2 linked regions of the Mus musculus genome follow. The protein of the gene in region 1 purifies or fractionates together with the protein of each later gene. This does not show direct contact. Links are inferred from orthologs where the notes say so. Each region holds a gene or a part of one and is shown on either strand. Other genes may lie near its edges.

Region 1 (4,446 bases):
ATGGCCAGGCTCTGTGCCAGGTACCCACCTGCAACATCGAGATTCAGGACCCTGAGGTTCCCCAAAAGAGCCAGCTCCCCTAGCTGTGTACAGCGAAGAGCCCACACACCCTAGAAGATGAGCCAAATTGGGTTCAAGGTCTCTGAGTCTCTCAGTTGTACAACATGGGCACCTGACCTCCACTCTTGCGCCTGTGGATGGAGTTCTCACAGGCTGTAGTGGAGCACACCTTTCATCCCAGCAGAGAGACAGGGAAGGCACTGAGCTGAGGCAAGCATGGGCTACTGAGCAAGTTCCAAGCCAGCCCCGGGGCTACACAGAGGAACCCTGTCTGTGTCTGTCTGTGTGTGTGTAATGCTGGTGGTGGGGAAACCGTTAAACCCAGCACTCGGGAAGCAGAGGTAGGTGGATCTCTAGGAGTTCAAGGCCAGCCTGGTCTAAAAGAGTGTGAGTTCCAGGACAGCCAGGGCTACAGAGAAATCCCATCTAATTAAAAAAAAAAAAAAAATTCAAGGAAAATAAAAGGGAAGAAAGAAAAGTCATTTCTCCATGGGAAAATGAGCTAATTCAAGCAGATTAAAGTATATTTAAAGGCAGGTTTATTGGGAAACCTCTTATGTGGCTCTCAGGTGAGTTAATTGGTCCCAAGAAAGAGGCCAGGGAAGTCTTCATGAAGAGGGAGATAGAGGGGAGGGGGAAGAACAAGGAAGTGTGTGGGAGAGAGAGAGAGAGAGAGAGAGAGAGAGAGTGAGTTAGAGTTCAAAGCAGGGTGCCAAAATGTCTGGATTATTTAGGAAACAGTCCCTCTTGGGGGAGAAGTTGTTTAGTCCCCTGGGCTGAAAAGTTCAGGGTGGAGGGCAGATTTTACCAGGTAGAGACTGAAGGAGGCTGGGAGAACCTGGAGGCCTGGTTCACTTTGTTATGTTAAATATGCACCTCAGCTGTTTATCTCAGATCTTATTCACAGAAAATCAAGTTCACCTAGGGACAGGAAAGCAAAATAAGGGCCTCAGTAGGGGCTCTTCTTATCTCTTTTATTATTAACCTAAGTGTATGTCTTTTGCTTACATGTATGTATGTATACCATATGCCTGGTGCCCACAGAAGCCACAAGAGGGCATCCGACTCCCTGGGGCTAGATAGAGTAACAGATGACAGAGCCCTCACATAGGTGCGGGGAAGCAGGGCCAGGTCCCCTGGAAGAGCAGCCAGTGCTCTTAACTACAGAGCCATGCCAAGTGATTGCCTTAAAAAAAAAAAAAAAAATTAGCCCGGTGGTAGAGGCACATGAAAGGCAGAGACAGGCAGGTCTCTGAGTTCGAAGCCAGTCTGGTCTAAGGGAGTTATAACAGCCAGGGTTACACAGAGAAACCCTGTCTCGAAAAATAATAAACAAACGAACAAACAAACAAATAAATAATGGTGGTTGTGGTGTCACATATCGTTAATCCCAACACTCTAGAAGCAGAAACAGACAGATATGAGTTCTAGGCAAGCAAAGTGAAAGCTCAAAAAAAAAAAAATAGAAAGAAAGGAAGGAAGGAAGAAAGAAAGAAAAAAGAAAGAAGAAAAAGTAACCAATAAAACGGGTAGCTATTACTGCCATTAGCATTAATGTAAACATTCAGCCTATGTGCACAGCAACTTTCACTTAATTCACACACACACACACACACACACACACACACACACACACACACACACACGGCCTTACCAATGATTTCGCCAATCATGAACACCAGGCAGATGGCAGAGGCCACATAGAGTTTGCGTCGGGCCCTCTGCTTCTCGGGGTCAGGGTGACTTCCAGAATCCTTCTGGGCATGGCAATAATGGTTGCTCTGGACAGCCAGCTCAACCGCGGGCAGGTCCACAGGAGGGATCCGGCTAGCTTCACTCTTCCACAGAGATCCTAAGAAGGACCTGGAGGCAAGAGGAAGGACAGGAGACCGCTCAGCCGGAGACGGGGGAGGGGGCACTGGGCCAGTCTCTGGGAGTTATTGCTAGTCTGCTGTTTCCAGAACAAGTAAGAACACTCCGAACCCCGCGTTGGCTGGCGGGTAAGCAGAGGTATGCAGCCAATGTTACAGGGGGGTGGGTGTGGTATTGGGGAGGTGAGTCTTGGGACCTTGTTCTATGATGGTCCCCTGCTCCTCCACCCATTCCCAGGCTGAGAGCTTTGCGAACTAGCCAAAGGGCAGTCAGTCCGGTCGAGCTCAGAGAAAGAGCTCTGAGCAGAGTTCTGGCTCAAACAGCAGCTAAAGACCATAGCTCAGCGCACCCAAGGACACCGGGCCTCCCCACCTCAGGGCTGCCCGGGATCAAAGTGCTGGAGTGAAGGCGGGGTTCCAGGCACCCTACGTCCCACTCGGGCGTACAGGCAGGCAGCGTTCAGGAACTGTGTGCTTGGCCAGGTGAGACAGGTGATCCCTGAGGCTACGAGGCCGCCGCCAATTTCCTTTCTCTTGCCTCACCCCATCCCTCGGATCGGGTCCCAGTTCAAGCCCCCGCTCGGACCAACCACAGCCGAGATGGTCAAAGAGGAGGTACGTGTGATGCTGCCCAGCTTCCCGCCCCTTGGGGCTTGAACTTACCGGGCTCCGCGCGTGCTCTCCAGCAGGTTCTGCTTGTCCATAGTCTGCATGCCGCCTCTCTCGGTGCGCCCTCGAAGTTGCGCGCGGGACGATGGCAGCTCGCAGTCACCTTCCACCTTCCGCTCCGGCCCTGCCGCTGCGCCCCGCGCCCGCCCGCTTTATCCCCGGCCCTCCTCGCCACCTGGTGTGAAGCCGCCCGCCGCGCGTCGTGTGCAAAAGCCCGCGGGGAGGGGGGAGGGTGGCCGGCTGCAAAGGGAATTGCGGCTCTGCCCCCAGGACCTGACCCCTGCATCCCCGGAGCCCGAAGGAGCTGAGCCGGACTGCGACCTAAAGTTTTTGCCTGGAGCAAAGAGAAAAGCACTTGCTAAGAGTTGCCTAGAGTTGCTAAGTTAGGACTGGATGACCACAAAACCCACTCTTCCTGGAATCCTGTAGAAAAAAAAAAGCCTTGGAATCCAAGTTTCTAGAAAATCGGCCTGGCGTGGTGGCATACACATTTAAGGCCAGCAATGGGGAAGCTGAGTCAGGCAGATCTCTAGGTTCGAGGCCAGACTGGTCTACAGAGTAAGTTTCACGGCTACACAGAGTGTCTCAAAAAACAAAACCAACCAACAATAAACCCTCAGAAAAAGAAAAGAAAGAAAATCCTTCGATTGCCCTTAGGGTAGGGATGTGACTAGCAGCTTTGATGGGGGCTACTGCGGGGAAGAGAGACTTCCTGGAATTGGATTCTTGGTGCAAGGGAGTGACAGGGGGCTGGTGCTCTTGCCCCGTGGCTGCAGCCAGAGAGGATCTGCCTCCCCCTTGCTGGGGCGGTGCCCCACAATAGGGCTGTTGGAGTTACAGACCCATTTTGAAAGTTCCTCCTGCCTTGCACTCTCTGATTGCGATCTGGAGTGGCCAGATCGGCCGCTTTATCTCCGTCTCTACAAAGAACAGTGTCCTGTCTTTTTAACCGATGCTATCTGGGGAGAACAGACACACTGCAGGAGACTGTGTACCCCAGAAGCCCAGCAAATTCCTAAGAGATGATGTGGGACCTTCAACGGAGAAGACCACACCCCACACTTTTCTCTTCTCTTCTCTTCTCTTCTCTTCTCTTCTCTTCTCTTCTCTTCTCTTCTCTTCTCTTCTCTTCTCTTCTCTTCTCTCCTCTCCTCTCCTCTCCTCTCCTCTCCTCTCCTCTCCTCTCCTCTCCTCTCCTCTCCTCTCCTCTCCTCTCCTCTCCTCTCCTCTCCTCTCCTCTCCTCTCCTCTCCTCTCCTCTCCTCTCTTCTCTTCTTTCCTTTCTTTTCTTTCTTTTCCTTCCCTGAGACAAGGTTCTCTGTGTAGCCCTGGCTGTCCTGGAACTGGCCATGCTCTGTAGACCAGGCTAGCCTCGAACTTAGAGTAGAGATCTACCTGTTTCTGCCTCTCCAGTGTTGGGATTAAAGGCATGTGCCACTATACCCAGCTTGCCCTATGTATTCCAAACAGTCTATTTTTGGGGGGATTGGGCTCTGCGATTCACTCTCCCCCCACAGCTCAGTGCTGATAGATATCTCCTTCCGGTTGATGATCTCTGTACTCAGTCACTCCATCTCCTAGATTCTTCATGACCTCAGCTTGGAAAGTATAACTGGGGGTGTAGTTTGTGGATTGAGCAGTCATGCACAAAGCCTTGGAGCCTATCCAGTGCCCAGTGCGGGAGAAGGAAGTGTGAGACCCCGACTTAAAGCGTTTCTCCCTGAACGGTAAAGCCCCTAAACGTTCCCCCAAGCTTGTTTTCCCTGATCTCTAAAAATACAGCCAGAAAGAAGCTCTTTGTTCTCTATAGCCAGCAAAAAGCCTTTTTGTTTCTAAACCTTACAACC
Region 2 (4,258 bases), on another chromosome or scaffold:
GCACACACTTCTTTCATCCTGGTCATTTTCATCTTTACTCACAGATATTTATTTTCATAACAAATTTATTCACCTCAAAAATACTGTCTGGCAGAGTATAGTGATATACACTTAAAACAATCCTGGTACTCAGGAGGCCGACGTAGAAGGACTCTGAATCTGAGGCCATCCTGAGTTACACAGACCCTATCTCAAAAAACTAAGGGTAGCCAGGTGGCACATGCCTTTAATCCTAGCACACAAGAGGCAGAGGCAGGCAGATTTCTGAGTTCAGTATCAGCCTCATCTACAGATTGAGTTCCAGGACAACCAGGGCTACACAGAGAAAAACAAACAAGCAAACAAAGAACAAGCCACGCATGGTCATGGAACACCTGTAATCCTAGTATGCTGGAAACTGAGGCAGAAAGACTGCTTTGAGTTCAAAGTCAGTCTGAACTACATAGGAGTACTAGGCCAGTCAGAGCTACAAAGCCCTGTCTCAAAATTACATATAGACAAATGGACTGACAGACAGACATACAGACAAACTGACTATGGATGAGGCTTAGTGGTACAGTACTTGCCCAGCATTTACAAGGCCTGAGTTTGATCTTCAGCACCACAGAAATAAATGAATGTATGCAGTTAGAAAATGCCCTCTGCTGAGAAGCACTGAGATAGTGTCCTCTGCCATCATTCTTCCTGGGCTCTACAGTCACAATATATATAGTGTGTGTGTACATGTGTGTGTGCGCGCCTGCACACGCTCATGTGCTGAAGAAGTCCAGAGCTATCCAATCCTGCAAGAGCTGGGATTACAGAGTTGTGAGCTGTCTGAGCTGTAGCTGTCTGAGCTGACTGAGCACAGTCTCTTAACTACTGAGCCATCCCATAAGCACAATTTCTATGAGCACCTAAATCAAGCCTCTGCAGTAATCCCAAGTGTTATCATAAATACCGACAACTGGGAGACTCAACCGCAATTCCTCATCATAGGGAATAATCGTTTTTTCTATCCACTGCTTGTTAAACACAGCATTTCCAAGTCCTTGTTCCACACGGGCATGAGGCATTCTGATCCTACTTAATTAACAGTGTATACCTCAGAGTTGTCTCTATGACACTGAGCCAGCATAACATAGTCTGTGACAATAAGCATGGTTATACAATTTAAGATGTTATACTAAGTTTATCGCACTCCTAACAATACTACATAAAAGGGCATCTAAAACGCCACAATCACTAGTAAATTTAAATAATGAAAATCGAGGATTCCTTCCAAAATAGAAAATGAGGTCTGAGTATTGATCAGGGTAGAACAGTTTCCAGGACCTGGGTTCCATCCCAACACCATAAAAAAAACAACACAATCCAGTTAATAGCAAATAAAATCTTAATGCTGTTATACATAAAAAGGTGAGGTCCAAATAACACAAGGAATCATTCCTTACATCTCTCTGTAAAAGCAAGACATACTAAACTCAGGCTTTTAGAAAAAGCGCAAAGTTTGTCTAAATTCAAAGGCTTCTCTTCTGTGACTGCAAGGTTAACCACAAACTACTTACGGTCAAATGCAAACTACCTCCCTCTTAATTCAACAGCTGACCCATGCATGTTTCTTTAAGTGGTACAAATAGCTAATGAAAAGACCATCCAACCCCATCCAACCGGTAGAACCCCCACGGCTCACAATCCATTCATTAGCTACAAGAATTCACTGCTGAACAGTTCAGATTTTTTAAACCTCTCCGTTTAAAGCTTGCATCATCTTCCTCCTCATCCCAACCTCTCTGGTCAGCTCACTAAACCCAAGTTGAAAGGACACGTCTCATAGGCAGAGGGGGAGGAGAGTTCCTAGGCTGGGAGCCCAGACCTGTCAAACACATTTTTTTAAGTGCTTCGGGGAAATGTCAGCCGAAATGTTCACGAGGCCCAGTTTAATGTCTTTAGAACCCTTTGTATATCCAGAGATTCGGCCAGACAAAAAGAGACCGGCTTTCGGTTTTGTCCCTCGGGGGGGTAGAGGAAGGCTGGCTGGGTGAGAGCTGGGGCAGTTTTCTGCTCAGGCCCCAGTGCCAGTTGGGTGGCCCTACCCAAAGTTGCTCGGGTCCTGAGGGCGGACGCGGACGCCGCCGCCGGCCTGGGAACAATGCGGGGCTTCGGGGCGCCCACGCTGGGGCCCGGGGAGCCAGGCAGCAAAGGCTGTCCCCCGCCCGCGCCGCCGAACAAAAGGCGCCGTGGGGCCAGCGCCCGGGCCGGGAAAAGTTTGTGAGAGGCCGGGGCCGAGGCCCGAGCGCGCCGCCCCGCACAATGGCCCGGCCGAGCGCGGGAAGGCCGAGCGCCCCGCCGCGCCGCGCCACGCCCCCGCTCCGCAGGGCTGCGGCCCAGTACCTGGTGCGTGTCCTTCCCGCCGCCCGCGGCCGCCGCTGGCCCGCCGGGGCCGCTAGTCATGTTCACGTACAGGGAGCGGGAGAGCGGGCTCCGCAGCGTCCACATCCTCCGCGCCAGCCACACGGACGCCAGGCTCAGGCACAGCCAGCCCGCCAACAGTCTCATCGGGGGGCCGCGGCCGCCAGCTCGGATCACCGCCGGGCCCAAGCCCAGGAGGAGGAGGAGGAGGAGCCGCCGCCTCCGGCCACCGTCGTCGCCGCCGGAGCTCGAGCCATCGCCGCCAAGTCGCCCGTGCAGCCCCCTTCGGGGCCGAGGCAGAGGGAGGGGGAGATGGCGCGGGAGGGGGGGCGGGGGAGGAGCGGCAGGCGCGCGGCCTTCTCACGTCCCCCGCGGCCCTTCCCAGCCCGGAACGCCAACGACTCCAGGTCGTGTTTCCACCCGGTGCACGTACAAACGCAGGAGGGGCGTCCTCCCTGCCCAATGAGCGGAGACCGGGAGGCCCGGGAGTTGGGAGAGAGGGCGTGCACGTCCTCCGTGGCGCCGCCTGGACTCATAATGGCGGAAGATCCGGGGGAGACTTCCTAAAGGGGCTACTAGAGTCTGGCCCCTCCGAGGAGGGGTCTGCAGGACTTCCGGGCTTGTCTTGCCTTAGTAACTACCCTGTGGGCCCCTCGATTACACCTTTGACCTAATTGTTCCCATTGACACAGACCCAGGTTTATTCGATAGACCCGCGCTGCCCTTCTTGCTACAGTCTTGACCGTCTATTTAATAATTTCCATCTGGGGTCAGCGAACCTGACTCCCAACTCCAAAAGCCACCCGATAGCTGCAAAGCAGAGAATCGAGGGGGAAAGAATCCCACCGCCACTCCCAGTCCCGGTGTTCCCAAGCCTGAGAAGCGGCTGTCACAGGTCTAGTGAAGCCCTCATGAGTGAAAGCTCTGCCTTTGTTGGAAACTGTTGCTCCTGGAGCACTCAACGAAATGTGATGGAAAATAGCATCTGCTGGACAACGAAGGCCACAAGTTAGTCCTGGCTGCCATGTTTCCTTGCAAGTTAGTCCTGGCTGCCATGTTTTCTCAAGCTGATAGAAGTTGGACCAGACATTCTTAAAATGTGCTCGGTCTGGGGAGATTTAGCCAGATATTTCTTAGATCATTTATAGCAGGAAGAAGCCCAATGTTTCTAAAATGAGGGTCATGAGATGTCGTTGTGTCTCAACTGTTGCTACTAAGCTACAGCATATTTCCTAGCCCAGCTACTCACACCTTCCTAGGTTTGTTAGAATATGCTTTTCATTTGACAGCGACAGATTCTGTACATTAATTTTAAATTAATTATAAAACAAATTTATCTTTACGTTAATTTCATCACACTACACTGAAGAGATTTCCGTTTATGAAATAATGACCCCTGGATGAGAAATGGCATTCCTTATCACAAACTCCTTAGGTGTTAAAGTATCTATTTACCATCTTTCGTTAATAAGAATATTTTGTTACCTAATGTGCATAGAATATAACAAAATACTTTGTCTTCTCTCATTCTGGTATATTCCCTGACATCTCTCCAAGTTGGGTGTTAAACCCAAGACTATACCTTACTAAATTGAGCTCAACTTTCTAGAAGTACTGGTCCAACATACTTAAAAGAAGCTATAATAGTGAATGTAAATGACTGTATTATGTCCCCTCTTTGAGTTCCAATAAAGCTCTTCTGTATCAAACCAGAGTCTTCACCTTTTTAAGTAAAGAGGAGATACAACAAGAGTGCATAAACGGGCATATTTCATTTCTAAAGACAAAGGATACAGAAAACTGTGTCCTAAGATTAAGCTTGCTTAACCACAGCTCCAAGACTTCAATCCTAAATGTATCCTCTAAA

The links.
Region 2: the proteins of Slc30a2 (region 1) and Mettl9 purify together in Homo sapiens (co-immunoprecipitation; 3 studies listed by BioGRID and IntAct, with this or other methods). This does not show direct contact. The link is inferred for Mus musculus from reciprocal best matches to the Homo sapiens genes SLC30A2 and METTL9.

What each region holds. Positions count from the first base shown.
Region 1 is NC_000070.6:134,341,485-134,345,930, reverse strand, and holds the start of Slc30a2 (zinc transporter 2), read right to left. Parts: upstream 2,886-4,446; 5' UTR 2,645-2,885; coding exon 2,595-2,644; intron 2,482-2,594; exon of another isoform or gene 2,305-2,481; intron 1,924-2,304; coding exon 1,715-1,923; intron 29-1,714; coding exon 1-28.
Region 2 is NC_000073.6:121,033,091-121,037,348, reverse strand, and holds the start of Mettl9 (methyltransferase-like protein 9 precursor), read right to left. Parts: upstream 2,905-4,258; 5' UTR 2,539-2,904; coding exon 2,374-2,538; intron 1-2,373. UniProt on the Homo sapiens protein: Protein-histidine N-methyltransferase that specifically catalyzes 1-methylhistidine (pros-methylhistidine) methylation of target proteins.